4 linked regions of the Caenorhabditis elegans genome follow. The protein of the gene in region 2 purifies or fractionates together with the protein of the main gene of each other region. This does not show direct contact. Each region holds a gene or a part of one and is shown on either strand. Other genes may lie near its edges.

The links.
Region 1: the proteins of kdp-1 (region 2) and nuo-5 fractionate together in Caenorhabditis elegans (co-fractionation; one large-scale study listed by BioGRID). This does not show direct contact.
Region 3: the proteins of kdp-1 (region 2) and nduf-5 fractionate together in Caenorhabditis elegans (co-fractionation; one large-scale study listed by BioGRID). This does not show direct contact.
Region 4: the proteins of kdp-1 (region 2) and nduf-9 fractionate together in Caenorhabditis elegans (co-fractionation; one large-scale study listed by BioGRID). This does not show direct contact.

Annotation. Positions count from the first base shown.
Region 1 is NC_003283.11:2,696,391-2,703,763, forward strand, and holds the start of nuo-5 (NADH-ubiquinone oxidoreductase 75 kDa subunit, mitochondrial), read left to right. Parts: upstream 1-2,581; 5' UTR 2,582-2,587; coding exon 2,588-2,680; intron 2,681-3,884; coding exon 3,885-4,637; intron 4,638-6,516; coding exon 6,517-7,373. Other genes in the region: Y45G12B.2 (Zinc finger protein-like 1 homolog), read left to right, coding at 760-1,063, 2,068-2,190.
Region 2 is NC_003282.8:13,298,196-13,303,840, forward strand, and holds kdp-1 (KASH (Klarsicht/ANC-1/Syne Homology) Domain Protein), read left to right. Parts: upstream 1-1,992; coding exon 1,993-2,430; downstream 2,431-5,645. Other genes in the region: micu-1 (Calcium uptake protein 1 homolog, mitochondrial), read left to right, coding at 1-51, 102-245, 297-357, 531-686, 732-975, 1,025-1,818; csn-6 (COP9 signalosome complex subunit 6), read left to right, coding at 2,635-2,896, 2,949-3,349, 4,362-4,703, 4,742-4,871, 5,175-5,335; Y67H2A.7 (Peptidase M3A/M3B catalytic domain-containing protein), read left to right, coding at 5,557-5,645.
Region 3 is NC_003279.8:2,999,381-3,005,745, reverse strand, and holds nduf-5 (NADH dehydrogenase [ubiquinone] iron-sulfur protein 5), read left to right. Parts: upstream 1-2,898; 5' UTR 2,899-2,908; coding exon 2,909-3,142; intron 3,143-4,150; coding exon 4,151-4,282; 3' UTR 4,283-4,386; downstream 4,387-6,365. Other genes in the region: Y54E10BL.3 (CcoQ/FixQ family Cbb3-type cytochrome c oxidase assembly chaperone), read right to left, coding at 145-212, 1,400-1,483, 1,534-1,561; dnj-28 (J domain-containing protein), read right to left, coding at 4,480-4,931, 6,238-6,365.
Region 4 is NC_003281.10:3,241,113-3,251,594, reverse strand, and holds nduf-9 (NADH dehydrogenase [ubiquinone] 1 alpha subcomplex subunit 9, mitochondrial), read left to right. Parts: upstream 1-3,019; 5' UTR 3,020-3,021; coding exon 3,022-3,182; intron 3,183-3,311; coding exon 3,312-3,522; intron 3,523-3,811; coding exon 3,812-3,867; intron 3,868-4,432; coding exon 4,433-4,775; intron 4,776-7,736; coding exon 7,737-7,891; intron 7,892-8,496; coding exon 8,497-8,614; intron 8,615-9,479; coding exon 9,480-9,731; 3' UTR 9,732-9,878; downstream 9,879-10,482. Other genes in the region: Y53G8AL.3 (CUB domain-containing protein), read left to right, coding at 1-134; Y53G8AL.4 (Apple domain-containing protein), read left to right, coding at 1,057-1,078, 1,751-1,824, 2,043-2,228; Y53G8AL.1 (FHA domain-containing protein), read right to left, coding at 10,332-10,439.

The sequences.
Region 1 (7,373 bases), on a different chromosome or scaffold from region 2:
TTTCGAAAAAATGAGCCTTTTTTCGATTTTTTAACCTAAAATTCGAAGTTTTTCTTCGTTTTTCCGTAGTATTATTGTTTAAACTACATTTTAAAAAAAATGCATTTTAGGCCAATTTTCGACGTTTTCGAGCAAATTTTGAGTTTTTTTGAGCGAATTTTGAGCGGCTTTCGAGTCCTTTTAAGCAAATGCTCAGTTTTTCGAATAATTTTTGAGTTTTTGAGCCAATTTTTAGCTTTTTAATCAAGTTTTTAGCATTTTTGAGCAAATTTTGAGTTTGTTAGTGCATGTTTAGAGCATTTTAGAGGAAGTTTCGAGTTTTTTGAGCAAATTTCGAGCTTTTTAGAGCAAATCTTAAACATTTTTGAGCAAATTTCGAGCATTTTCGAACTAATTTCGAAAAATTTGAAGCAAATTTTGAGCAGTTATGCACAAAGAGGCGCCAGTTCACAATAATAGGTGAATATGACCGAATTTCGCGAAAAAACCGCTCAAAAATTCGAAAAAATGGGTCTTTTTTCGAAATTTTAACTTAAAAATCGATTTTCTCACGTTTTTTCTCATTTTTTATCGTTTAAACTACATAAAAATGCATTTTAGGCCAATTTACGACGTAAAAAGCCGTTTTCTATGTGAAAAAGTGTTAGAAAATCCAATTTTAAAGTTAAAATTTGAAAAAAAAACGAAAAAAAGAAACCTAAGTCTGAAGAAAGGCCCATTTTTTTTTGCAATTTCCCAAAATTTCTAATTTTTTTCCAGATCCTCCACCCCCGCAACCCATCTGGAAATGGAAGACACCGCTTCCTACTCGGTCTCCAACAATGACGTCACTTTTGCGCGAAAAAAGAACTACGGAGCCGAATCTTCAAGCGATACTCGTCCACTTTTACAGCTCCGTGACGCCGATAACGAGGAGAATAAATATAAACGGCGCCCGACGATGGATTGGATGCGCGGGCTCTGGAGAGCAAAACATGGCGGCTCCGGGGTCCCACAGGAACGGGCTTCCGCGAAAAAAATCGCGCTTTTCGTGATTTTCCTGGCCGTTTTGGCTTTGATTACGGTTGGATTTTAAAAAGCGACTTTTATAGACTCAAAAACGCCAAAAAAATATTTTTTCCCTGAAAAAATGGCCTAATTTTAGCTAAAATACATCAATTTCGCCGACTTTTCCGTGTTGCATCTGTCGGAAATTCGCTTTTATTTGATTTTATCACAGTTTATTTTCAATTTTTATCGTTTTTCTCACGTTTTTTTCGTTATTTAGTGTACATTTGAAGCATATAAACCGAAAACGACGTGAGGGCGGAGCCTAAACCGCAATCCTGCGGCGCGATGTTTCGCAACTCCACCGCGCGACTATTTTTTACAAGTTTTTAAGTTTTTTTTCGCATTTTTCGAATAAAATTTCCAGTATATCGTGATTTTTTCGAGATATTTCGATAAAATCTCATGAAAAAAAAATTTCGACTGACAAAAAAACAGCGCGGCGGAGTTGCGAAATCGCGCGCCGCAGAATTGCGGTCCAGACCCCGCCCACAATTTTTTGCGCTCAACGTCTGCCGTGTGGCTTAAAATGTACATTAAATAGCGAAAAAATGTGTAATAAACAATAAAAATATAAAATAAACGATGAAATTTCATGAAAATAAAATATAAGTCAATTTCCGACCGCTGCGACACGGAAAAGTCGGCGAAATTGGTGTATTTTAGCTAAAATTGAGCGATTTTGAGTATTTTTAAGCGAATTTTGAGCTTTTTGAGCAAATTTTGAGTGTTTTTAATCAAATTTCGCAAATTTTGAGTCATTTTGATCAAATTTTAAGGCTTTTTGAGCAAATTTATTGTCTTTTTGAGCAATTTTTTGAGTATTTTAGAGCAATTTTTGAGTATTTTTGAAGGAAATGTTAAGGCTTTTTGATCAAAGTTTGACTTTTTTTGAGTGAATTTTGAGTATTTTTGAGCGAATTTTATGGCTTTTTAAGCAAATTTTGAGTGTTTATGAGTCTTATCAAGCAAATTTAGATTCTAACTTCATTTAATTCCAAATAAATTGTATTTTTCCAGATTATAATGGTGATGAAGCGTGCCGGATACAGCGGCGAGCACTCATCGGACCCCCTTTTCGATCCAATGGCCAATCCGAATATTCGCGTCGCCGTCGAAGATTCTCGTCTTCCACACGTCTAAAAAATTTTTTTTTTTGAAAAAAATGTGCATATCCTTCCCTTTCTGTGTAATATTCAATGTCTACTCATTCCCCAACGAAAAAAAAAGTTTTTCGAAAAATTTTTTATTTTTACTTTCGCCTGCTAATGATGCTAACAAACGGGATTTTTTCTGATTTTTTTCGATTTTTTTCGCTAAAAACTAGCTAAAACTAGCTAAAACTTGGTTGTAATTAATTATTAATTATTTATTCTTTTTTTTTGCCCTATTTCTTGTATATTCGGTGGTTTAAATGGTATTTATTGATTTTTTTTCCTCTAAAAATTGAAATTCGGTTAATTTTCTACCGAGATTTATATTTATTTTCTCTCAATTTTTCGGAAAAAATTTCAGGAAGTAATTGCAATTTCAGAGCACCATGCATCGCGTCGGTGGACAAATTGTCCGCGGAGTGTCGAAGGCTCAACAGAAGAGATCGCTTTCGGTGGCGGCTCCGGCTCCACCGAAAAAGGTGAAAAAACTGGAATTTTCGGCGGAAAAATTGAAGAAAAATGGATTTGGCAAAAAAATAACGAATTAACTAGCGAGAAATTCAAAAAAAAAGCTTAATTTCATCTACAATCTCCAATTTTCCATCATTTTCCATTTAAAATTAGTGCCAGAATATAGAAAATCGCTCGATTTATCGGAAAATCACTTTGATTTTAGCTGAAATGTTGGAGAAAGCGCTCAAAAAGACAGTTTTGAGCTTTTTCTCAACTGTTTCATCCGAAATTAATGTGATTTTCTCGATGAATCGAGTGATTTTCTATATTTTGGCACTAATTATTAATTGAAAATTTTACAAAATACATGGTGCAATGATGTTTTACTAAAATCAAAAATGTTTTCGTTTTTCAATTAAAAAAATCGAAAAATTCCGTTTTTCGGTTCGAAAAATCAAAAATTTTTAGATTTTTCCTTTAAAAAACGGAAAATTTAGTTTTTTTAATTTCCGAAAAAAGAACAAATCGAAAAAGTACGTTATTTAATTTAAACAAAAATCTAAATTTCTTCGTTTTTCAATTGAAAAAAAAATCGTTATTTCCTGTAAAAAAATCAAAAATTTAGTTTTTCGGTTCAAAAATCGGAATTTTTTCGATTTTTCCTGTAAACATCGAATTTTTTTTTAAATGCTCGATTTTCTCTGACAATTTTTTTTACAAAAAAATAAAAATTATTCGATTTTTCCTGTAAAAAATCTAATTTTTTTTTTCAATTAAAATGATCGAAACATTTCGTTTTTAAATTTATCAACAAAAAAAACATAAAATGAAAAAAGCACGTTTTTCAATTAAAAAAAAATCGAAAAATTACGTTTTTCAATTTTAAAAAATCTAATTTTCCTGTAAAAAATCTAAAAATTTAGCTTTCAGTTCAAAAAATCAGAATTTTTTCGATGATTTTTCCTGTAAAAAATCGAAAATTCGTTTTTTTTTCAATTTTTAAAAATATATCGTAAATATATATTTTTCGATTTTCCGGAACCTAAAAACCCAACATTTTTTTCAATTAAAAAAAAAAAAAAACGAAACAAATTTCTTCCATTTTCCGAAAACAAAAAACTTAAAAAAAAAATTTTTTTTCGATTTTCAAATAAAAAAAATCGAAATTTTTCGATTTTCCCTGTAAAAATCAACAAAAAAACCACTAAAAATCACCTCATTTTCTTCCAGGTCGAAGTCTTCATCGACGACAAAAAAGTGCTCGTCGACCCGGGAATGACGATTCTCCAAGCGTGCGCGCTCGTCGGCGTCGACATCCCACGCTTCTGCTATCACGACCGTCTCTCAATTGCCGGAAACTGCCGAATGTGTCTGGTAGAGGTGGAGAAGTCGGTGAAGCCTGTCGCATCATGTGCGATGCCTGTCATGAACGGAATGAAAGTCAAAACCAACTCGGATTTCGTGAAAAAAGCTCGCGAAGGGGTGATGGAGTTCATGCTCAACAACCATCCACTCGACTGCCCGATTTGTGATCAAGGTGGCGAATGTGATCTACAGGATCAGGCGATGAATTTCGGATCCGATCGTGGGCGGCTTCAGTCGAGATTCGATGGAAAACGGGCTCTCGAGGATAAGAATATCGGGCCGTTGGTGAAAACTGTGATGACTCGATGTATTCAGTGTACTCGATGTGTCCGATTCGCTAATGAAGTGGCCGCTTTTCCGGATTTCGGCACCACCGGACGAGGACAAGATCTTCAAATTGGCACCTACGTCGAGAAATTTTTTGCTTCAGAGCTCTCTGGGAATATTATCGATATTTGTCCGGTCGGAGCTCTTACCAGCAAGCAGTACGCGTTTACGGCCCGGCCCTGGGAGACTAGAAAGACTGAAAGTGTTGATGTGATGGATGCGACCGGATCGAATATTGTGCTTTCGCATCGGACTGGCGAGCTTCTGCGGGTTATTCCGAAAATCAACGATGTACGGAGTTTTGAAACGAATTTTTTGGAAGACATAGCTTTGAAAATTTTGAAGAAGAATCGATATTTTTCGAATGTCGAAAAAAAAATTGTATTTTTGGCCATTTTTCACTTTTTTTGGAGAAAAAATCGATATTTTTCAATTTTCTCTGAAAAAAATCGAAAATTTACAGATTTTTTGAATTTTGATAATTAAAAAGTTGAAAATTGTGTAGTCTAGTTTGGAACAGGGGTGTGCGGCAAATGGAAAAAATTGCCGAGCTCGGCAAATCGGCAATTGCTGGTTTTTCAAAATTTGCCGAGCTCGGCAAATTCGGCAAATCTCTTTTTTCAATATTTGCCGAGCACGGCAAATTCGGCAAATTTGCAGAGCTCGGCAAATTCGGCAAATTCGGCAAATTTGCCGTGCTTAACAAACTCGGAAAAATTTGATATTTTTTATGTTTTGTGGAGCACCAAAACTACTGAATTCTTAACACACATCTGGTTTCTGAATAAGTTCCGCGTAGTATGTCTGTTTAAGCATCAAAATAGCTCAATTTTGTGTCATTTTACTAAATTTTTGGCTAAAAAATCAATAGTTTTATTCAAAATTGTACTGTCAAATTTTTCACGTGTGCGGCAAATTTCGAAATTTGCCGAGCTCGGCAAATTCGGAAAATCTACTTTTTTGAAAATTGCCGAGCTCGGCAAATCGGCAATTGCTGGTTTTTTTAAATTTGCCGAATTCGGCAAGTCGGCAATTTTCGGCAAATCGGCAAATTTGCCGCACACCCCTGGTTTGGAATAAAAAATTGTTCGGCAACATTTTACTTTTTATGAATTTTTAATGCTTTTTGAGCTGTTATCGGTAAAAATCGATTTTTTTTTCAGAGAAAATCAAAAAAAAAATCTAATTTTCTGAAAATAACTTAAAAAGCTTATTTTCGATAAATAAATTCATTTAAAGTAGATATTTGCCGGAAAATTTTTTTCCGAACTATTATACAACTTTCAATTTTTTTTTCCGATTTTTTTCCAGAGAAAATCGAAAAATATCGAATTTCAAAAGAAAAAACATAATTTTCTTCAAAAAAGTGGAAAATTACCAAATTTTCCCAATGCGAAACAGAGCTCAGAAAATTTTCAAACGACTAGACTTTAAAAATGAGCAAAAAACTGATTTTTTATCGATTTTTTCAGAGAAAAAATGTTACTTTTTGTATTTCCGGGGAAAAAAACTATTTTTTTTCAAATTTTCAAATTTAGGTATATAACAATTCGAAAACTAAGAATTTTCGATATTAAAATAAAAAACTTACAATATTCTTCGAAAAAAAGATGAAAAATGGCCACATTTTCAGCTATTTTACGAAAATTAAATTTTTTCCTTGAAATACAGAAAATTTTTTGATTTTTACGAATCCCTGTTTTTTAAGGTGTTGTTTCAAAATTTACCGGAAAATTTCGATTCCGTAGTGCTCCGACAAAAAAAACGAAAAAAAACCGAAAAAATGTCAGAAAAATTCGAAAATGCGAATTTTTTTTTCCGTTTTTTTGCAAAAACAAAAATTGAATCTGGAAAATCGGAAAATTTCACTTTTTCGAGTTGCTACAAATCGAAAAAAAATTTCTTAAAATAAATGCGATTTTTCCGTTAAAAAAAACCAAGAAGCATATAATTTTGGCCCCATTTTTCCTATAATTTTTTGAAGAAAATTATATGTTTTTGCTCATTTTCATAATTTTCGCGAGCTCGATAATTTTCGGATTACCAAAAAATTTTTGATTGCGTAATGATTTCTACTAAAAAAAAAAAACGAAAAATAAATCCGAAAAAACCAAATTTTGCGCCGCAATTTTCGGCCTTTTTTCGACCCCAATTCCCCAATTTTTTCCAGGACATTAACGAAGAATGGATCGGAGATCAGTCGCGTTTCGCAGTGGACGGCCTAAAAGTCCAACGCCTTCTCACACCAATGATCCGCGGTGCCGACGGTCAACTCAAGCCAGCCACCTGGGAAGAGGCTCTTTTCACCGTTGCCGCCAAGCTCCGCGAGACGCCAGCCGAGCAGAAGGCCGCCGTCGCCGGAGGCCTGAATGACGTCGAGTCCCTGGTCGCGCTGAAGGATCTGTTCAACCGATTCAACAGCGAAAACGTGATGACCGAAGAGGAATTCCCGGATGTTGGTAGCGGTGGCTCGGATCTTCGTTCCAACTACGTCTTCAACGATGGGATCGCCAGTGTCGAGAACGCCGACGCCATCCTTCTCGTCGGAACGAATCCCAGATTCGAGGCGCCGACGCTGAACGCAAGGATCCGTAAATCCTTCCTGTACAGTGATGTTCAGGTCGGAGTGATCGGAGCCGAGACGGAGCTCACCTACGAATACGATTACCTCGGAGCATCTGCAAAAGCTATCGATGAGATCCTTGCCGGGAAGGGAGACTTTGCAAAGATCCTCTCATCTGCCACCACCCCCCTGATCATCGTCGGAGCCCAGGCGTTGAAGGGAGAAGCCGGTGCGGCGCTGCTCGGGAAGCTTCAGCAGCTCGCTGATAAGCTCGGCTCTGGGAAGGAGGTGAAAGTGCTCAATGTTCTTCAACGATGGGCCGGTCAAGCTGGAGCTCTGGATGTTGGATACAAAGCAGGCACTGCCGGGATCCGAAAGACGCCGATCAAGTTCTTGTACCTTCTGGGAGCCGACGAGGGGAAGGTCACCAAGGCGAACCTTGATCCATCGGCATTTGTGGTCTA
Region 2 (5,645 bases):
GGCTCTCGGAAATATTCGGCAGAAAAAGGATGTTTTTCACTACACAGACAGGTAATATAGTCAATATTCTCCCGGTTTACTCAATAAAATGTATTTTTCAGAGCAAGCGGCGTTGGATATTCCCATTACTCCAGTTCAGTTTATCAGCACCGCCCGTATATTTGGCCACCGCTCAGAAAGCTGTACCATTGGAATTATGCCTTGGTGATCGCTGGAATGGTTATCCTGATGAGTGATTTCGAATGGTTCGTGCTCTCCTGCGTCGATTTGTTTTTCGTATTTCACCGCTTTTTCAGGCTCAAGGATCAGATCAAGAGCGCATCGTTGCCGTTCCGTCCAGAAGCATCACAAAAAGAAGTGAGCTGCTCCTGCTAGTTCACCTAATACCAGCTTGTGTGTTGTGATTTCAAGATAAAAATAGTCAGTTTCAGTTATTCTGTTAATTTTTCTCACAAGCTTCTTAGGTTTACAACCTCTCACGTGTTTATTTTTCTATCACTCCTGCAATTTTTCTAATTTGCGGTCTTCAGGAAGTCACTGAAAGCAATGGTGAAGTAGAGGAAGTCAAAGAAAAGCCAAAGAAGAAGAAACTGGGATTCAGAGAGCGAAGAATCATAGAATATGAAGACAGATTGAGGCTTTATTCCACTCCGGATAAGATTTTCAGATACTTTGCGACCCTGAAAGTGAGTCACTTTGACAAAAATCTATTTATTAGTTGTATTTTTCAGATCATCGATCCTAACGAAGACAGTGGACGCTTTGAAGTTTTCATGACTCCTGAGGATTTTCTCCGTTCTTTCACTCCGGGTGTGATGCAGCCGAGACGTTGGGGGCTTGATAGTTTTAAAAACTATAATCCTGAGAAGCATAAACGTCACAAGTTCTCCGACCCTGACAGTATTTTTTACAAGCTCGGCGAGAACGGTCTCATAAACTTCAGTGATTATCTGTTTCTCATGACTCTGCTCTCAAGTGAGTTTTAATACTCGTTTTTCTTTCAAAATATCATTGACTTTTCCAGCCTCTCACGCGGATTTCGCTCTCGCATTCAAAATCTTCGATGTAGATGGGAACGGTGCGCTGGATAAAGAAGAATTCACAAAAGTTCAACAGCTTATTATGTCCCAAACAACTGTAGGACAGCGTCATCGAGATCATATAACGCCAAACCAGTCGTTCCGTGTCGAGACAAACTCCGCTCTCGAAACATATTTCTTTGGAAAAGACGGAAAGGGGAGCTTGTCGTCTGAAAAATTTATCGAGTTTCAAGAGCGTCTACAACACGACATTTTAAAGATGGAATTTGAACGGAGAGATGCACTGGATAACCCGGATGGACTTATCAACGAAGATAGTTTTGCTCAACTTCTCCTTCTTCATGCTCAAATTAATGAGAAGAAACAGAAGCATATGTTGAAGCGGGTTAAACGAAGATTTAAAGGAGAAAATTTGAAAGGAATCAGTTTTGGAGAGACGAAAGCATTTTTCGAGTTTTTGTATCACATTGACGATGTAGATATTGCTCTACACTTTCATAAAATGGCTGGAATGTCGATAGATGCGAAGCTACTTCAACGAGTTGCGGTCAAAGTGACTGGAATACCTCTATCGGATCACGTTGTGGATGTGGTGATTACTTTGTTCGATGACAATTTGGATGGAAAATTATCACATGAAGAAATGGTTGCTGTGATGAGGAGAAGAATGCGTAGAGGTTTAGAGCGACCAAGAGATACTGGACTTTTCCGTTTGTTTGATGCAGTTCTGGAATGTGGAAAACGAGCTTATCACGCCAGTCCTCTTCCATTTTATTAGTGGTGCCCATGGCCACTGTAAATACTTGTTTATAAATAAAGCTTTTCATTCTTTTTAACAAATTATATTTGTTATGTTCATAAAAAGTGTTCGTTTCACTTTTCTTATCTTAATTTCATTTTTTTATTCTTTATTTCTTTCTCCACATTTTAAAACACATTTTTCAGGAAAATCATGTCGTTGGCTTTGAGAAAGACTTTGGGCGTCGCTCGCTTTTCCATGAGAACCGCCAGCTTCCAGGCTGTTCCAACCAACGCCGGAAAGACCCCACCAACCCTCGAACAATTCGATCCACTGAACCCAGGAGAGTGGCAACTCGGAGCCGGAGGAAAGATCCTTCCACGTCTGCCAGAGGGAACCAAATGCGGAAACCTTGTCATGGGAAAGTACGGACTCTACGATCCAATCCTCAAGAAAAGAGTTGATACCTACGCCAATGCTCTTCTCGAAGGAAAGAAGTCCGAAGAGGCTGGACCATTCGATGTCGCTGTCAGCAAGATCGCCAAGGTCCTTTCCTACATCTGCTTTGTCATCGCCATCTACAACCTCATCTCGTTGGTCAACGGAACTCCACTTCCACCACTTAGCCACGTCAAGGCTCCAGGATCCTAAATAATTTCCACTCGATTGCATTATCTCTTTTTTGTAGGAAGTTTTATGTTCTGTAAAACTTATGTCAATGTGAATCAATAAAATTCCCGTTTAGCTTGTTTTTCCACCAGTGAATCCAGGAATATTTTCAAAATTTCCAAATCATTATCTGGCTTGAAACAAAAAAACCGATTTCGAAACCAAATTTCGAAATAATTTTCAGAAATGGCATTGAACGCACCAAGCGGGAGCTGTAGCTCGAAGGTGCTTTTGCATCCTTTGGTTATTATGCAAATGTCCGAACACTACTCCAGAACAAAGGTCCAACAGGGTCCTACTGTGAAAAAAGTGTTCGGAGCAATTCTCGGACGGCAGAATGGACGACAAGTCGAGGCGATCAATTCATTTGTTCTGAAAATGGAGACAGAAGAAATGGCTGAGCCGGTTACTTTTAGCACGGAGCATCTCCTTCAAAGAGCAGATCAATGTCAGTTTTACTCTGTTCTTGCTCATTTTAGTTTTTTTTCCCCAAATTTCAGATCTGGAAGTGTTTCCCGAGCTCCAAGTTATCGGTCTTTATTGTGCTGGGGAGGATGATAATCTGACTCCCGAAGAGAAACCTCTTCTCTCAAAACTCACCAATGCGGTTCGCAATTCAGAGAAAGCCGGACAAATCGACGCGACACTTTTCCTTAAACTCAACTCTATCACTGCTGGAACCACTCGTAAACTTCCACTTTTCGCGTTTGAAGCAGACGTGACTGATCAGGAGAAGCATAAGCCAATTGAATGGATTTTAGTGTCGGAAGAAAGTGAACGTGTCGGTGTTAATCATATCGCTAAGTTATCAACGAAACATGGAAAAGACGGGAAATCAGTTGGAAAGAAACACGCGGAGGCTCAAGATGCAGCAATGAGCATGCTTCAGAATCGGGTTGATGTGCGTTCGAGAAATTGGAGGCCAGAAAAAGACAAAATTTCATAATGAGACTTCTGAAAATGCTGTTTAGCGGTTCAAAAATTTTAAAATAATACCTAAAATTCGCTAAAATGCATATTTCGATCTTATCTCGCATTAATTCGTTGATTTAAGACACATTTTCAGTCGATTGACACCTAATTTTGGAAAAAATGTTTGAAAAAAGTACCTCCATTTACTAGTAATTGCGAGCTAAACGACTAAAATATGTAACAACAGCTGCTGCGACATGAAAAGTTTGCGAAATTTCAGAATTTAGACAGTTTTGGCTCTTATTTTTTTTTGAAATTTTGACATACTTAAAAAGTTTATTAATATTATTTTGAGAAATCTCGTTATGAAAATCAATACAGCAGCAAACTAAAGTGGAATAGTCGAAATAGTTTTACTGCTTTATTAGACTCACAATTGACTGAAAACACCGAATTTCATAATGAAACTTCTTGAAAACGTCTCAAAAAAAAGTTATGACGGCTCAAAAAATAGCCTAAATGTAGTTAAAATTTGAAATTTGACCGACTTGTCAAGCGGCTGGAAACTAATTTTTTGAAATCTCCATCTAATTTTGAGTATAAAATTTAAATATCTTGCGTTTTCAACTTCATTTATGTATTTTAAAGCCGATGGACGGCGATATTTTTAATTTTTTTTTTACGAAATCTCGCCGTCCATCGACTTTAAAGTACCCAAATCGAGTTAAAAACGCAAGATAATGACATTGTATGCTCAAAATTTGACGGTGCTTTCAAAAAAAAAAATTGTTTCCAGCCGCTGCAACATTGCAAGACGGTCAAATTTCAAATTTTAACTAATTTTAGGCCATTTTTTGAGCCGTCATAACTTTTTATTGAGAAATTTTCAAGAAGTTTCATTATGAAATTCGGTGTTTTCAGACAATTTTGAGTCTAATAAAGCAATAAAACAATTTCGACTACTCCGCCTTTAATTTTTTTTACAAAAAAATAATTTTCAGCTAATCGTTGCCTATCTCGAAAAAGTGCAAGACGGAACACTTCAACCGAATTTTGAAATTTTGAAGGAAGCTAACTTGCTTGCTCAAAAGCTCAAAACCATTGATCGATATGCTGCTGAGTTCACTGATAGTTTCGAAAAGGAAGAGAAAACAATGACCGTATTCTCTCTGATGCCAAGATTGACAACTCTTCTCGGAAATATGCAAAATGTGTGGAACAAGTTGTCAGCTCAAAGAGCCGATCTTCTCGCCGACGATGGATTCCATGGAAAATCGACAAGCCGTTGGGCTCATCCGGTTCGATTCAAATCACAACATCTCGGTCGTCCGCAGCAGGCAGATGTAAGTTAATGCATTTAGAATATTTCTAAATCCTTTAGGAATGTTTGTTCCAGGATGACGATTATTTTGATGATGAAGATTTGGAGAACGATATGAGTGGACCACGGAGAAAAATTCATGCTGCTGATTCTCCAGCTGGATCGAGAAGACGACGTGTTCCGCCAAGAGGTAGATTTGGAAATTCTGAATTATTATGAAGACGCAGAAAAATTCACCTTCTTGGGGAAATTTTTTGAAAGCGGATTTTTCAGAAGTTTTGACATCAGATACGAGGTTTAACATTTTTTATCAACTATTAAAATTTAATTAAAAAGCACAAAAAAAAAAGACAAAAAATACCTGAAGGAAAATTCTAAATTTACGATTTAGCCGATTCAATTGGTCGTGGAACGATTTTTTTTTCAAAAATAAGCATTTTTGTGCGTCCTCATTTCAAAATCTTCTGGAAAACATTAAAAATGTTGATTTCAGCAATGAACTTCCTCGGTCGGAATTCTGGTATGCAAGCCGCCACGGACGAAATGGAATTGTCAGGTCAAGAGGAAAATATGGGAAGCAACTATATTCCAGACGTTCCAAGACCATCTGCAACAGCACACAACGAGTCGGACGAGTCGAGTCAAGCTTCATAAATATCCTTTTTTTGTTAAAAATTCACTGTAAAAATGCCACTTTTTCTTATTTATTTCATTGTTTCTCAAATTTTTACACCACTTTACGTGTTTTTCATCCCCATTTATCTGAAATATAATGTCTGATCTCCGATTCTCGATATTAAAAAAAGGTTAAACGTTCCTTATATCAATAGAATCCAGTTTAGTTTAGACTATAGTGATTTTTTCTACAGCACTAAATGCTTCGAAGTGTGATATTACGGCATAGTCGAACGATAAGCCGGAATAGCTGGGTGGCTAGAGCATTTCGAAGCGAGAAGGTCGACAA
Region 3 (6,365 bases), on a different chromosome or scaffold from region 2:
TTTAATTTTGTAAATTAAATTTTGTGTATGTTGATGAGAAACAAAAAGAAAAATGGCCAAAATTTTAAGATATATTTGATTTTTTTTCTATTTTCCACAGTTTTTTGAGCATTTCTTCAATTTCTCAATTGCCATCTCGAGAGATCAATCCGATTTCTTTGCATTCGGCTCCTTCGGTGTCATTTTTTGAGTCGCTTTCTTCAGCGCCGTATCTGAAAGTATTCCTCTTTTTTTTCTTTAGTTTAGACTATTTTTCATTTACTTTGTAGATTTTTCCCCATTTTTCCCTCCACATTTCTGTCCCGCTTCTGATTAAGATTAAAGTATTTTGATTTGATTTTTGAATTTTTAAGTTTTTTTTCGTTGGTTTTTATAGTCGGTTGAAGCTCCCGAATTTGCATTTTTCTTTTATTTTTTATTATAACTAAGGGTTTCGTTGAGAAACTCGGTTTTTTTTCAGAGATGATCGAAAAAAAAAATTGTTTTTTGAGGAAAAAAAAAATTTTTTCATTAAAAAAGGCAAAAAATTATCGAAATTTTGAAAATGCCTCGAAAAAAAAACGAATTTTTTTTCAAAAATAAAAAATAAAATTTCGGATTTTCTCGGAGCAAAGCTAATATTGATGAGAAAAAGCATAGGAAACCCTGCAATTTTTTTCAAAAAACAAAAAAAAACGAAAAATTACCAACATTTTGAGAGATTTCTCGAAAAATAGATTTGTTTTTTTGGAAATATCGAAAAAAAAATTAGTTTTTATATTTTCCCGAAAATAATTGGAAAATTATGTTGTTTATATTCATGAGAAAAATCTAACATAATTTTATTTTAAAAAAAAATGACCAAAACTTTGACATATTTCTCGAAAAATCAATTTCCGGAAATCGAAAATTTTTTAACTAACTAAAAATTCTCATAGAAAAAAAAACATCATCGATTTTTACCTGAAAATCTAAAAAAAAAAGATATATATCGAGTATTTTTAATGTTAAATACAGAAGGAATTGGCAAAAGATGGCCAAAAATTATTTTTCCGGCAAATCGGCAAATTGCCGGAATCGACAATTTCCGGCAAATTGTGGCCTTGCACATTTTTTTGGAACTTTTGAAGAATTTCAATTTAAATAGGCAAAGAAATTTTTAAAAAAGGCATCCAATGAATGTTCTTACATCTATTTTAAAAAATTAAAAATTCTATGAAAATATCTAACGAAAAATGGGAAAAAATTTTAAAAAGGCACAATTTGGAGTGTTTCCGTTTTAAAAAAATCGCTCTACAAATTTCCGTCATATCGATATCCGGCAAATAGGCAATTTGCCGAAAATGAAAAATTCCGGCAATTTCCGCACACGCCTGGGTCAATCGATATTTTTCTCACAAAATTCAAAAAGCTGACTCACCCGGCTCATCAGGAGTTTTCGAATTAATATAAATAACTGTGAGAAAGACGAGAAGCGCGACGACAGGAATAAAAACGTGAACAGCTGAAAATTCATGAAAATCGGTTGAAATTAATTTAATATATTTAACTCACATTCAACGAGATTATAGACGGCGTCCATGTTTGACAGAGCCCCAAGTTGCCTTCTTGCTCCGAGAGAGAAAGAGCACACACTACTGCGCTTGATATCGATTTTTGTGTGCTGCGAAAAGCGTTGAAGAAAACGGAAAAGGAGACCTCCGTTACGAAAAAGATGTGAAAAAGACGAGAGAGGGGGGGGGGGGAGAAGCTCGGATAATAAAATGAATAAACTGGGAGAAAGAGGAAAAGACTTTTGTGGATTTTCAACAATTTTTTAGTAGCAAAGATTCGGAAAATTAGCCGATTTTCCTGAAGAAAAGTTAGTATGAATAAAAAAAATAAATTGACGAAATTTTTTTGAACTTGGAATCCACTTTCAACAATTTTTGAATACAAAGATTTGGAAAATTTGGCGATTTTTTGCGGAAAAATTAGTAGATGGATGGAATTTTGCTGAAATTTTGCTGGGATCCACCGAAAATAGGAAAAATAGCTTAAATTGCGAATAGGTTTTGCAAAAAAAAAATTTTTGTTGAATTTTTGAAAAAAAAGCAATTTTCTAGAAGAATATTTTATTGGTTTTATCTAGTTTTTTGGGAATTTTTTTTTGAAATTTTTCCAAAATCTGGGATTTTTCACCATTTTTCCTTTTTTTTGCGTGATAGTTTGAGATTATTCATGATTTTTCTTCTCTCGAGGCATTTTTTCGAAATTTATTCAACAAAAATTACATTTCATGGCTTTTTTGATCTTGTAGCGTGCCTTTTTATCCAAACAGTATTTAATTTTAGGATTTTTTGGGTAATTCTGAAATTATTACGGGAACACAATTCTAAAAATGCGTATTGCACAACACATTTGACGCGCAAAATATCTCGTAGCGAAAACTACAGTAATTCTTTAAATAACTACTGTAGCGGTTGTGTCGATTTACGGGATCTCGATTTTTGAAATTAATTAATTTAACGATTGAATATTAAAATTAATTTTCTTTAAAAAAAATCGATATCCCGTAAATCGACGCTACCGTATTCATTTAAAGAATTACTGTAGTTTTCGCTACGAGATATTTTGCGGGTCACTCAGAATTTTGCGTTTCCGTAATATTAGTGTGTTTCTTTTTTCGATTTTCCGATACTTAGACAAATTATTTTTTTTTTTCGAAACATGTCTATAAATTTTAGCTATTTTTCTTCTTTTTTTTTGAGAAAAATGTTTTTTTTCCTATTTATGCATTTCCTCATCGACATAAAAAAATTAACACAGATTTTAAAATTTTAGTTTTTTTTTCTAAAACATTTTCTGATTATCTCTGAAAAAAAAACCGAAAAATCGATATTTTGCTTCTCAACTCATAATAAAATTCCAAAATTCCAGAACATCCGCAATGGCAACTGGTAACCGTAATCCGGAGAACTTCACATCATTGTCACCAATCGTAAAGGCTCCAATAACCGATACTCTTTCGGTTCCACTCTCCCAACAGGGACGTATCTGCGGATTCTTTGAATCTCAATTCTACCGTTGTATGGAGGCTTACGGAGCAAAGATGGGACGCAAGTATTGTGATCTCGAGCATCGTGACTTCCAGGAGTGTGTCACTGGGGATAAACAGAAGAAGGTTCGATATCCGGAACAGAACTGTCGCGAAAAAAAATTGGACTAAAAAACAAAAAATTAGTGAAAACCAAATAAATTTGATCCCTTGAATTTATTCTTTTAACGGAGGACTAACGGTTCGGACGATTTTGAACGTATAGACCCAAAATGTTCTCAAATGAACGAATTTCGTAATGAAACTTTTCAAAAAATTTCCAAAAATTTTTTATGGCGGTTCAAACTTTTGAAAAAATTACACTGATTTTGGCTAAAATCTCGAATTTTGCCCATTTTTCCGTGTCACATCTGTTCGAAGTTGGCTTTTTTTGGAATTATCGTCCTTTATTACATATATTGGTAATTAATCTCATTTAATTTCGTGGATCAAATAACATTTAAAGCCGATAGGTAACCAATTTCGATGATTTTTGGTTACCTATCGGCTTTAAATGTACTTTAATCGACGAAATTAAATGAGATAAACTACCAATATATGTAATAAAGGACGATAATTCCAAAAAAGCCAACTACGGACAGATGTGACACGGAAAAATGGGAAAAATTCGTGATTTTAGCTAAAATCAGTGTTATTTTTCAAAATTTTGAACCGCCATAAAAATTTTTTAAAAATTTTTGAGCAGTTTCATTACGAAATTCGTTCATTTTCCGGAAATTTCTAAAATTCTAATTTAAAAAAATGTTCCTTCATTTTTCTGATTTTTGAGTTTATTTTCTCGTCTTCTTTCATGCAATTTTTCCGATTTTTCTCCTATTTCTAAAGAAAAGAAAAATCGAAAACTCTGAAAAATTTGGTTTTTTAACTTTTGGATTTTTTTTGTTGATAAAATCGAATATTTTTGGTTTTCGATTTTCCTAAAAATTTAAATGTGTGTTCTCCAGTTTTTTTGCCCTGAAAGAGAAAAAACTACCATAATCTTTTTTCTGCGCATCGAGACCCATCTGAATAAACCCGTGCGCCTTTAAAAAACATCACATGAAATTCCAAAATAATCGAAAAACAATTTTCCAGAGAGCTGACGCCATCCGTGAACAACGCTGCAAGCTGTTCCTCGACGGAAAAATCGCGAAGCCATACGTCGACAATCATCCAGAACCGGGACAATTCAAGACTGATCACTTCCAGTGGAATCGTATCAACTAGATACTTGAAGTGCCTTTAGTTTCGAGAGAAATCGCCTTATTTTTTGTAGTTTTCATTTCTTTTTTCTTTTTAATCTTTTCTAAGTACATAAAAAGATTTATAATAAAAAAAAAAAGAAGCAAGTTAAGAGATCAATAATAGTCCGGGTAACACATCCAATGACACAATAATATCTATATCTATAATGAAATATGAAATTAAAAATGGAAGAAAAAGTCGCCGCCACCACGGCCGCCACCACCACCACCGCCGAATGGATTAAATCCGTGGAAATTATGAAATCCGTGTGATCCTCCACCTCCACCTCCACCCCTCCCTGCTTCCGAATCCAGTGGATCTTGTCCATTATCGAAAGCTCGCCGCTTCTCCTCATTGCTCAAAACTTCCTTCGCCGCGGCAATATCGATAAACTTCTTCTCAGCTTTCTTCTTCTCCTTCTCATCCTGAAAGTTGTCCGGATGCCATTTTTGAGCCATTTTTCGATAGGCTTTTGTGATTTCTCGTTTATTGGCGTTCCGGCGGACTCCGAGAATTTTGTAGTAATCTCGTTTTCCGACGAGTTCCTTTGCACGCTTTGCTTGATCTTTTCCAGTTCGGACGGCGTCGTTTGATGAATCCCATTCTTCGGCTTTTTCGTAGTCAGCGATTGCTGGAAATTAGATTTTGATGATCGATAAATCCGTGAAAAGCAGCGCCGCACAGAAAAAGAGGCGGGGCTTATTTTTGCAATCCTGCGGCACGGTTTTTCCTCCTTTTTATTGATTTTTTTCAATGAGAAATTCTGAATTTCGTCAAAATTTTCTGTTAAAACGAAGAAATAGCGTGCGGAGGCTTGCGAAAACCTGCGCCGCACAGAAAAATAGGCGGAGCTTATTTTTGCAACCGTGTCGCACCGGTTTTTCCTCCTTTTTATTGATTTTTTTCAATGAGAAATTCTGAATTTCGTCAAAATTTTCTGTTAAAACGAAGAAATAGCGTGCGGAGGCTTGCGAAAACCTGCGCCGCACAGAAAAAGAGGCGGAGCTTATTTTTGCAACCGTGTCGCACCGGTTTTTCCTCCTTTTTATTGATTTTTTTCAATGGAAAATTCTGAATTTCGTCAAAATTTTCTGTTAAAACGAGGAAATAACGCGCGGAGGCTTGCGAAAACCTGCGCCGCACAGAAAAAGAGGCGGGGCTTATTTTTGCAATCCTGCGGCACGGTTTTTCCTCCTTTTTATTGATTTTTTTCAATGAAAAATTCTGAATTTCGTCAAAATTTTCTGTTAAAACGAGGAAATAACGCGCGGAGGCTTGCGAAAACCTGCGCCGCACAGAAAAAGGGGCGGGGCTTATTTTTGCAACCCCGCGGCACGGTTTTTCCTCCTTTTATTGATTTTCCGAATGAAAAATCCGATTTTCATTGAATTTCGTTGAAAATTTCTGTTGAAAATGAGGAAAAAACGTGCGGCGGCTTGCGAAAACCTGCCCCGCACAGAAGGTTGCAAAATTACGCCCCGCCCATTTTTCTGCGCGGCGCAGATTTTTTTCTCATGTTCAGCAGAAAAATTCGAACTAATTAAAATCGGATTTTTTTTGGAAAAAAAAAATTTTAAAAAAGCATTTCCAGTAAAAATCCATTTTTATTTGAATTCTGTTCGAAATTTCCTGTTAAAAACGAGGAAAAAATAAATAAAAGCGTGCGGCGGCTTGCAAAATCGATGTTCAATCGCTCCGCCCCCCACGACTGGGTCTCGTTAGGTATTTCGCGCCCTTTTTAAAAATGGTTTCCGTTGTTTTAATAATTTTTATGACGAAATTTATCCAATTTTTAGACATAAAACTCATTAAAAACACCCTAAAATTGTTAGAATTCATGAATTTCCCACCAAATTCCTAACGAGACCCAACGTTCTGGGGCGGAGCCTTTTAAATTGGCCGTGGAGCGCGCTTGCAGAGTAACTTCTAAAACGGACCCATATCATACTCCTCGTCTGCCATATAAGCTTCAGCTCTCTGAATCAACGTTTCCACATCAGAATCATCAAATTCCAGTACTCGAGTACACTGTTGAATGGCTTCTCCTAGATTTCCGTCTTCTCGA
Region 4 (10,482 bases), on a different chromosome or scaffold from region 2:
CCACCGACACATCTGACTGCCTGGATTTCAAGTATGAAGATGTGAACTCAATTTTCTTCACTATTTGCTGGGATTCCAAAAACTATTCGAATGGGCTTTATATTGAAACTTTGTTCGATCAAATATTATTGTAAAAAATCGCAAAAATCCATAATTGTGTTAATTATCAAATGTAAAATTCCATGCTCAACTTTTTTACAATTTAAAGTTTTTTGATATCTCCAACCGTTAATGAGATACGGGCGTTTGAACTTGGCGAAGAGAGAGAGAAAGAGAAGGGGGAGAGACGCAGACGACGAGAGCGCGCGCGCCGCCTGCGTCTCCCCTCCCCACACTCTCTCGTCACCGCTAACTTAAAACGCATGTATCGGGAGATAACTAGGTTCGAAGTCTGAATTTTGAGATTTTTGAGTTTTGTTTTAGGAAATTAGAATTTTATTGTAACAGGAAAGGATGTATTAACTGATTTTTCTGTGAGAAAAAAGTATAAAAAAGTTTGGAAAAAATTTTTAAAAATGTCCAAAAAAATTTTTTTTAGATAACTTATACCGTGAAATTTTTTCAAATTTCCACTATTTCCAATTACTCTTTTCAAAAATACCCTCTTAATCAATTTTTTCGCTCCTTCACGCCTTCAAGCCCCTATGACGTCACCAATCCCCAGTGAAAGGGGCCCATGCCTACCCCTGCTAAAAACTACAATATACCCCTAAAACCATCCCGTGAGTAATCAAAAATCGCGTCTAGCGCAAGCTTCCGGCTGAAAAATGCAAAAATCCCAAAAAAAACCGCCCAAAATCGTGCAAAATCTCAGAAAACTGGGCGGAAGAGGACACAAATTCGCCTCTTTGGAAGAGGAAATTACGTCGTATTGTATCGAATGACACCTCTCCCGCGCAACACGATATATATAGGGGACCTTTAAATGGAATAAGACCTATTTGCTAAATTTGGAAATTTGTTGGAAAAAAAAATTTTCTAAACAAAAAAATTTTTGTTTCGGAAATTTTTTTTCCAAAAGATTTTTCCGAAATTTTCTACTATTTTTCATCTAAAATGAACGGATTAAACCACTTATGTAAGTTATTGTTGGATTCAGGACCCACGTGGCCTAGAAACCCCATATTCGGGCTCAGTGGCCTAGAAAATCCAGAAAAGTTAGGCCACGCATGGTTTTTAGCAGAAAACCGTTTTTTTTTTCAATTATGTTTCGTAGAAAACATGCATAATTTCATGGATTCCCCAAATTTTTCTTAATTTTTCAGACATGGCTGAGAAAAAAAACCGGAAAAGTTAGGCCATGGGAAATTTTTCACAAAAAGTGAAATTTTTCCGTGAAGAATCTATTTTTTTCAGTTTTAGTATGAAAAATTTGAAAAATTTCGTTGCTTTTCAATAAAAAACTAATTTTCAGACGTGGCCTAGAAAAATAACCGGAAAAGTTAGGCCACGCAGCATTTTTCTAGAAAATTGCAAATTTTTCGAGAAACGCGTTATGTCTTCACTTTTAATTTTGAAAAACGTGCTTAATTTGCTTTTTAATCAAATTTTTTCAAATTTTAAGACGTGGCCAAGAAAAACCAGCTGAAAAAATAGGCCACGAAATTTTTCTTCGAAAAGCTCCATTTTTCCGCGATTTCGCCGCTGGAAATTAACTTTCGGCCAACGTTTCTGTGAAAATTATTTTTTAAAACTCTAAATATCTGCCAAAAAACCACTGTGGCCTAAACAATTCCATTGATTTTTCCAGTATTCTTCTTACTTATCGTCACGTTTGCCGGATTTTCATTTTCCCGCCCCGACCACCATTCGAGGAACTGCAAAGTAAGTGCGCTCTAGCGAACAACGAAGCTGCAAACGCGCTCCATTGAGAATTTTGCTTAAATGGTGGAAATCTCGGGGGTTTCTGGAGATATATCGATTTTTATTCGATATTTCGCTGAAAAAAATTGAAAAATTTGAGAAAAATCATTCAAAACCCTAGTTTTTCGCCGATTTTTTCCGCATTTTTTCAAGAATTCGGAATATTTTTTGATTTCCAGGCTTACCGACGACCGGCTCTAAACGAAGTGCTCACGAGAATATGCCTACTTTGCCATGAAATGTTTTCAGTCGACCAGCCGAATCTAGCCGCCGAGTGCAGCTCGAATTGCTTCAGGAATCCGGCGTTTAACAAGTGTCTCAACTTTTTTAGGCCGAAATTTTCTCCTTTTCTGGGTTCCACGTGATAAATAAATTGGTTTTAATCGTTAAATTTGAATTTTAATTGACTAAAATTGGTTAAATCGAGAAAAAAAAAGAAAAGAACCACAGTGCGGAGTCGAACCCCGGTGTGTTGCGTGAAAGGCAAAAGAGTTACCAGCAAAGCCACAAAGCAATGTGAACGTAATTTTGAGAGGCGTATACATTGTAGCCATAAATGCTTATTATCTCGATAGCGTATAATATTAATAATTGAGAATTTTGATGTCATTTTCAGTTTAATCTACCAGTATTCTTCTGTAATTTCGCACATTTTGAAGAAATCCCTTGAAAACTTCGCATTTCTATTTAATTCAAAGATTTTAATAATTTTTCTTGAATGTAAAACAAGAAAAGTAATATTTCATTAATTTTTCAACAATTTAGATTGAAAACTCTCTTTAAAACCGCCTTTCTCACCAATTTTTGCTAATTTCAAAGCTTCTCATTCCTCCTTGGAGTACGGTCATCAATCCCCGCCCTTCCAAGTGCGCATTCGAGTCCGCAAACGTCAAACCCGACGCCATATTGCGTACAGGCCAAATTATTTATTTCGGCACCGCGTACTTCATTTTCAGCCATTTTTAGCGGTTTTTCCAGATTTTTTCGCTATTTTCGGTGCTTTTTTGATAAAAAATCGATTTTTTCGACCGGAAAAGCTATTTTTAGCTGGAAAAAATCCCGAAAAAACGCAGAAAACCCATTTAATTCTTAAAAAGTCTTTAAAAATCTTTAAAAATCTTTAAACAATTGCAAATCTCGATTTTCCTAATTTCAGCCATGCTATCAGTGTTGGGTAGATCCGGCTTGGGCGCCCGGCAGGCGGTTTCGGTCGTTGGAAGTCAGAATTTCAGCAGCGCGGTCACCTCCGCCGAAAATGCTCATCCGGAGCCACGTGTCAGCTCTCAGAGTGCTCAATTCAGAAAGGGAGCCGGTGGAAGGTACAGGAAAAGCCTAAGAATGATTTGAAACTGGAAAATGTGGAAAAAATCTAGGAAAAATTGAAAAAACATTGAAAAAAAATCAATTTTTTCCCAAAAAAAATCGTTAAAAATTCCAAATTTTTGCAGAGCCTCCTTCTCCGGCAATGTGGTGACCGTATTCGGTGCGTCAGGCTTCTTGGGACTTCCAGTTGTCAATAAATTCGCGAAAAATGGCTCACAAATCATTATTCCGTATCGCCAGGATCCGTATTACATGAGAGAGCACAAAGTGCTCGGCGAGCTCGGACAAGTCCTCTATTTTCCATTTGAGCTGATGGATGAGGAGAGCATTCGAAAGGTATTAAAATTCGTGGAAATTGAGAGAAAAATCGAGTTTTCTAGGTGAAAATCGAGAAAAATTGGATTTTTCTCTAGAAAATCCAGAAAAAATAGAGTTTTCTCAGTGAAAATCGAGAAAAAATGGGTTTTTCTTTAGAAAATTCAGAAAAAATAGAGTTTTCTCAGTGAAAATCGAGAAAAATTAGGTTTTTTCTCTAGAAAATTCCGAAAAAAAAAGAGTTTTCTAGGTGAAAATCGAGAAAAATTGGATTTTTCTCTAGAAAATCCAGAAAAAATCAATTTTTCAGGCTGTAAAGTACTCGAACGTCGTCATCAACTTGATCGGAACTCGTGTGCCGACTGGGTGAGGAAATTGCAGATTTTTGAGCGGAAAAATTCACAAAATATGCCGGAAATTCAAAAAATTCAAATTTCGCGCCGTTTTTGACCAAATAAATCACTCTTTTTCGCTGAAAATTCGAAAAAATGCCTGAAAAACCTTCAAAATGTGGAATTTAACCCTTTTTTCCTACTGAAAATTCAAAAAATAAATTTTTTTACACCAAATTATCATTCAAAATTCAAAAAAAAAGCTCTTTTTTTCCAGTTTTTTCATTGAAAAACTCAAAATTCCTCACTTTTTCCAACTGAAAATCAATTAAAAATTGAAAAATCCCCTTAAATTTTGAATTTGGCTCCACTTTTTGGCTAAAAATTTGAAAAATGTCCGAAAAATCTTCAAAATTTTGAGTTTCGCGCCGTTTTTTTCACTGAAAATTCAAAAAATATTTTTAAAAAATTCAAAAAAAACTAAATTGCTCAATTTTTCTCCAAAATTTTCGAGAAAACTGCCATTTTCTATTGAAAAATTCAAATTTCCCCACTTTTTCCTTCTAAAAATCCCAATTTTAAGCCATTTTTCCTTGCAGAAAGTACAATTACTATGACGTCAACGACACGGGAGCCCGCCGTTTGGCTCGAATTTGCAAAGAAATGGGTGTGGAGAAATTTGTGCATTTGTCGGCTCTCGGAGCAACTACACAACCACAAAAGGGACATTTTGTCGCAAAATCGCAATTTCTTCATTCAAAAGGACTCGGAGAAGTTGCTGTACGTGAAGAATTCCCAGAAGCAACAATTATTCGCCCATCTGTGATCTACGGTGAATTGGATGGATTTATTCAATATTATGTGTCAAGATGGCGAAAAACTCCATTGGATTATGTGTATTTGTACAAGAAGGGAGAAGAAACGTATAAAATGCCGATTTGGGTACGGAATTGGCCGATAATTCATGAAAAATGACCTAAAATACGTGAAAATTGGCCGAAAATGACTGAAAATGGCTGAAATTTGGCACAAAATTAAATATTTTAACGAAAAACTCACAAAAACCGAGATTTTTTGAAAATTTACGATTTTCACATTAAAAATTGTCAAAAAAATTTTATTTTCCGTTAATATTGATTAAAATTATAGAAAAATCCATTTTCAACCGAATTTTGAACGAAATTAATCAAAATTTCATAAAATACATTTTAAAAAAAGCTCAAAATACGTGAAATTCGCCAAAAATGCTGAACAATTACTTAAAATTCAAAAAAATTGAAGTAATTTGACCAAAAAACTGAATTTTAGTCAATAAAAATTCAAAAATGGCTGAAAATTGTTTGAATATTGAAAATTGGGCGAAAATTCATGAAAAATGACCTAAAATACGTGAAAATCGGCCAAAAATGACGAAAAAAAATTTTTTTTTAAAGTAGAAAATTTCATGAAAATCGAGAAAAATGGTGTAATTTGACCTAATAACTGAATTTTAAAAATAAAAAGTCGAAAATCCGTGAAAATCGGTCTAAATCTACGAAATTTCATGAAAATTCGCTTGAAATTGAGAAAAATGACTCAAAATTCATTACAATAAATCCAAATGAACTGAAAAATGTCAAAATTCATAAAAATTGGCCTAATACAAATAAAATGAGTCCAAATATTTATGAAAAGTCTCGAAATTTCATATAAAGTTGCTCAAAATACGTGAAATTCGCTAAAAATTGCTGGAATTTATTTAATTTGCTTAAAAATTAGAAAAAAATTTCAAAATTCAAGGAAATTGGCATAAGTCCGTCTAAAAATTGAATTTTAAATTTAAAAAGTCAAAAATTCCAACAAATCGGCCAAAAATTACTGAAAATTGTTCAAAATATGACCAATTTTTGTTTGAAAATCGGAAAAATTACTCAAAATTCGAGAAACGCTGTAATTTGCGAAATTTTATGAAAAAAAAGCCTTAAAACCATTTAAATTGGCCAAAAATGACTGAAAATGGCTGAAATTTGGCACAAAATTGAAAATTTTCGGAATTTCACCCAAAATTTCATAAAATTTGATAAAACTAGTCGAAAATTGGTAGAATTTCGGCAAAAATCGTATTTTCACACAGAAAATTGTCAAAAAATTGCTAAAAATGACAAATTTTGACTGAAAAACTTGAATTTTTGCTTAAATTTCATCAAAATGTAAAAATCGGTAAAATTCCAGAAAAATTCACCGAAATTTGCAAATTTTGGCTTAAAATTGTCCATTTTTGCCGAAAAAAAATTGATGGTAGGCGGCGGTAGGCATAAAGTAGGCACAATTTTTTTTTTGCGAAAAAATGCAAAAAATGTCCAAATTTCGCATATTTTGACTCAAAACCTCGGCCAAAAATGGTGTAATTTGACCTAATAACTGAATTTTAAAAATAAAAAGTCGAAAATCCGTGAAAATCGGTCTAAATCTACGAAATTTCATGAAAATTCGCTTGAAATTGAAAAAAATGACTCAAAATTCATTACAATAAATCCAAATGAACTGAAAAATGTCAAAATTCATAAAAATTGGCTTTTAATACAATTAAAATGAGTCCAAATATTTATGAAAAGTCTCGAAATTTCATATAAAGTTGCTCAAAATATGTGAAATTCGCTAAAAATTGATGGAATTTATTTAATTTGCTTAAAAATTAGAGAAAAAAAATTTCAAAATTCAAGGAAATGAGGCTTAAAGTTACCTATAAACGCTGGAATTTGCGAAATTTTATGAAAAAAAGCTTTAAAACCATTTAAATTGTCCAAAAATGACTGAAAATGGCTGAAATTTGGCACAAAACTGAAAATTTTCGGAATTTCACCCAAAATTTGATAAAACTAGTCGAAAATTGGTAGAATTTTGGCAAAAATCGTTTTCTCCTCAAAAATGTAACAAAATTTTCGATTTTCACACAGAAAATTGTCAAAAAATTGCTAAAAATGACAAATTTTGACTGAAAATCTCGAATTTTTGCTTAAATTCCATCAAAAATGATGATTTTTTCAGAAAAATTCACCGAAATTTGCAAATTTTGGCTTAAAATTGTCCATTTCTGCCGAAAAAAAATTGATGGTAGGCATAAGTAGGCACCATTTTATTGCGAAAAATGACCAAATTTTGGATATTTTGACTCAAAACCTTGAATTTTTGCCAAAATTCAATTCATTTTTCGCACAATTTCAGTAAAAATAACTCAAAATTTACCATTTTTTGCCGAATTTTCAACGAAATTGATCAAAATTTCGAGAAAATCGGCGAAAAATCACTAAAAAAATCTCGATTTTCTTGCAGGTTGCTTTTTTAGTTTTTAGTTTTAGTTTAAAAAAGAAAAATCGGCCAAAAATGAGTGAAAATTGTTCAAAATAGGCCCAATTTGTTTGAAAATTCAAAAAATTACTCGAAATACATACAATTCGGCCTAAAACTGCCTATAAACGGTGGAATTTGCGAAAATAAGCGAAATAAAAAAAAAAGCTTTAAAAACGTTTAAATTGGCCAAAAATGACAAAAAATGGCTGAAATTTGGTCCAAAATTGAAAATTTTGAAGAAAATTGACGATTTTTGACGAAAAACATACAAAAAATCGTTTAAAAATGTTATCAATTCCAATTTTCGGTAATTTCCCATATTCACTTGAAAAAAATTGTTGAAACATTGCTAAAAATGGCAAGTATATATATTGAATTTTTTGGTTAAATTCCATTAAAAAACGGTATTTTCGCGCGAAATTTCATTAAAAGGAGTGAAAATCCGTAAAATTTCAAAAAAAATTCACAGAAATTTGCAAATTTTGGCTCAAAATTTACCATTTTTTGCCGAGTTTTCAACGAAATTGATCAAAATTTCGAGAAAATTGGCGAAAAATTCCGATTTTCTTGCAGGTTGGAGACGTTGCCGCCGGAATTCAAAGTGCTGTAAATGATCCAACAGCAAAAGGACATACTTATGAATTTGTTGGACCACACTGCTATCAATTGTCTGAATTGATTGATTTCATGTACAAAAAAGCGCATTGTTTGTCTGATTTTGGATTCAGGTACCCGGTTTTTCGATTTTCCCGCCGAAAATTGGCCTAAAATGAAGGAAAATTGCTAATTTTTGGGCAAAAAAATCATGAAAATTGATAATTTTTAACGAGAAATTCATGAAAATTGGACTTAAAAATCGTGAAAACTGGGTCTCGCCACGAAAACTTTATTTTTTTCAAATTTAAAGGCACATGGGTTGTGCATCAATCAGGAAATTTTGAAAATTCGAATTCTCCTCAAAATTCTAGGCTTGTAGCTTTAATCGGGTCTCGCAACGAAAATTTCACGAGTACAGTAACCCGCGAGATATTATTCCGTGGCGAGACCTTAAAAAATCAAAAAAATCAATATTTTCACTGAAAATTGATGATTTTTAACGTGAACTTTATGAAAATTGGCTAAAAAATATAAATTTAGACGTAAAAATCGTGAAAACTACATTTTTTTTTGGGTCTCGCCACGAAAAAGTTGAAAAAAAAAAATTTCTTGAGTACAGTAACCCGCGAGGTATTGTTTCGTGGCGGCGGGACCCAGGCGTGAAATTTCGAGAAAAATCGCGAATTTTTCAATTATTTTCGTGGCGGGACCCGAGAAAAAGCTCAAATTTTTGCAGATACAAGCGTCACGGAATGCCGGATCCATATTTCATGGCTCTCACAATGGCCACCGAACTCTATGGTAAAGTGTTCAAGTGTAAAGTTCCACTCAACAGAGAATGGATGGAGTTTGTGGTAGGTTTTAGGGCTTAAAATGAGCAAAAACGCCTCAAATTTTAGATTTTTTTAATTAAAAATCGGTTTTCCGCCAAAAATCGGGCAATTTTTACGGAAAAATCCATTTTTTAAGTGAAAAACACTTAAAAAAAACTGATTTTTGAGTCAAAAAATTGGAAATTTCGGAAAGCCTACCTACGCCTGCCTTGTGCCTACCGTTGAATTGTTAAATCAGGTAGGCGTAGGCACAATTTTGAGGAATTTTTTTTGTAGAAGTGGCGGAAACAACCCGATTTTCATCAAAAAAATTCGAAAAAAATCGAAAATTTTTTCAAAATTATCGATTTTTAGTCGAAAAATGGATTTTATTGATTTTTTTTTTTGAAAAAAAAATTTAGCGAATAAAATCGATAATTTACGGAAATTATCGATTTTTTGTTGATTTTCAAAAAATCGATAAATTCCGATTTTCCGACAAAAATTCAAAATTTTCTGAAAATTATCGATTTTTTTTGCTATTTTTGTAATTTTCAGATAAAAATCGGAATTTTTTTAAAAGAAAAATCGAATATAAAATCTTAAAAAAATAAAAAAAATTTAATATTTTTAAAAATTACCGATTTTTTGTCGGAAAAGTGATTTTATCGATTTTTTGTTGAAAAATTTCCGCGGAATTTTTTTTGAAACAAAGATTTCTGAAAATTATTGATTTTTTTTTCTATTTTTCGCATTTTTCAATTGAAAATCGGAATTGTTGAAAAAAAATCGCATAGAAAAATTTCCACCGATAATTTTTGAAAATTATCGATTTTTGATTAAAAAATTCGCGAAAAAATCGATAATTTACGGAAATTATTGATTTTTTCTAATTTTGCATTTTCAGGAAGTACAATCGGACATTTTGACGGGCGAAAGAACTCTCGCCGACCTCGGAGTCCGCCGATTGACTGAATTCGAATTGGCTGGTGGACAACAAGCATTTTATCGATCATTTAATCGATATTTCGAAGAACAATATGGAGAACTTCCGGCTCCATCACTTCCACTTCGTTCACCACCACTTACCAAAAAGAACACTGGCCGAGGAGCAACTGGAATCAAGTCGGAAACGAGCAAAAATGTCGCTTTTAATTAAGATTTTTTTTAATCGATTGTTTTTTCGATTTCTGTGTTGTCTTTGGTAGTTTAAATAGAGCGATTTTAATTTTTTTTTGGTTCTAAATTTTTTTTCTAGAAAAAACTGAATTTTGTATTTATACGCGTAAATGAATCGAGAATTTTGATGGGAAAAATTGGTAGATTTGCAAAAATTCTGAAAAAAAATTATAAGAATCCTGAGAAATTATGAAAAATAAGAAAAAAGAGCACAAAAAATCAGTAAAATCAAATTTCCTTTAAAAAATCGATAATTTTCAAAAATTATCGATTTTTGTCCGAAAATGAACGAAAAATCGATAATTTTTGGTAATTATTGACTTTTTTCGGAAAAATAAACTAAATCAGATTTTAATTTGGGCTGTTCCGAAAATTAGCAAAACAAATCAATAATTCCTTTTTTTTCCGACAAAAAATGGATTTCTTTTCGAAAATTATCGATTTTTAAATAAATTTTCACACAGGAACTCTACAAAAAATAATTTAATTAATTCAATTATTGCTTTATTTTTGTATATATCCGACATGAAAGAAATTAAAAAACACAGAAAAATCGATAAAATAACCTATAAAAAATCAATCAATAAAGTATAAAAGGCGGCCGATTTCGCAGAGTCTCCCGAATTTTTTGATCTTCACTTTTCGAGCGGCGTTTCATTGGTGGTGAGAAGTAACGGCGGATTGGATACTGAAAAATAGTCATTTGAAATGAGAAAAAATCGATAAAAGTC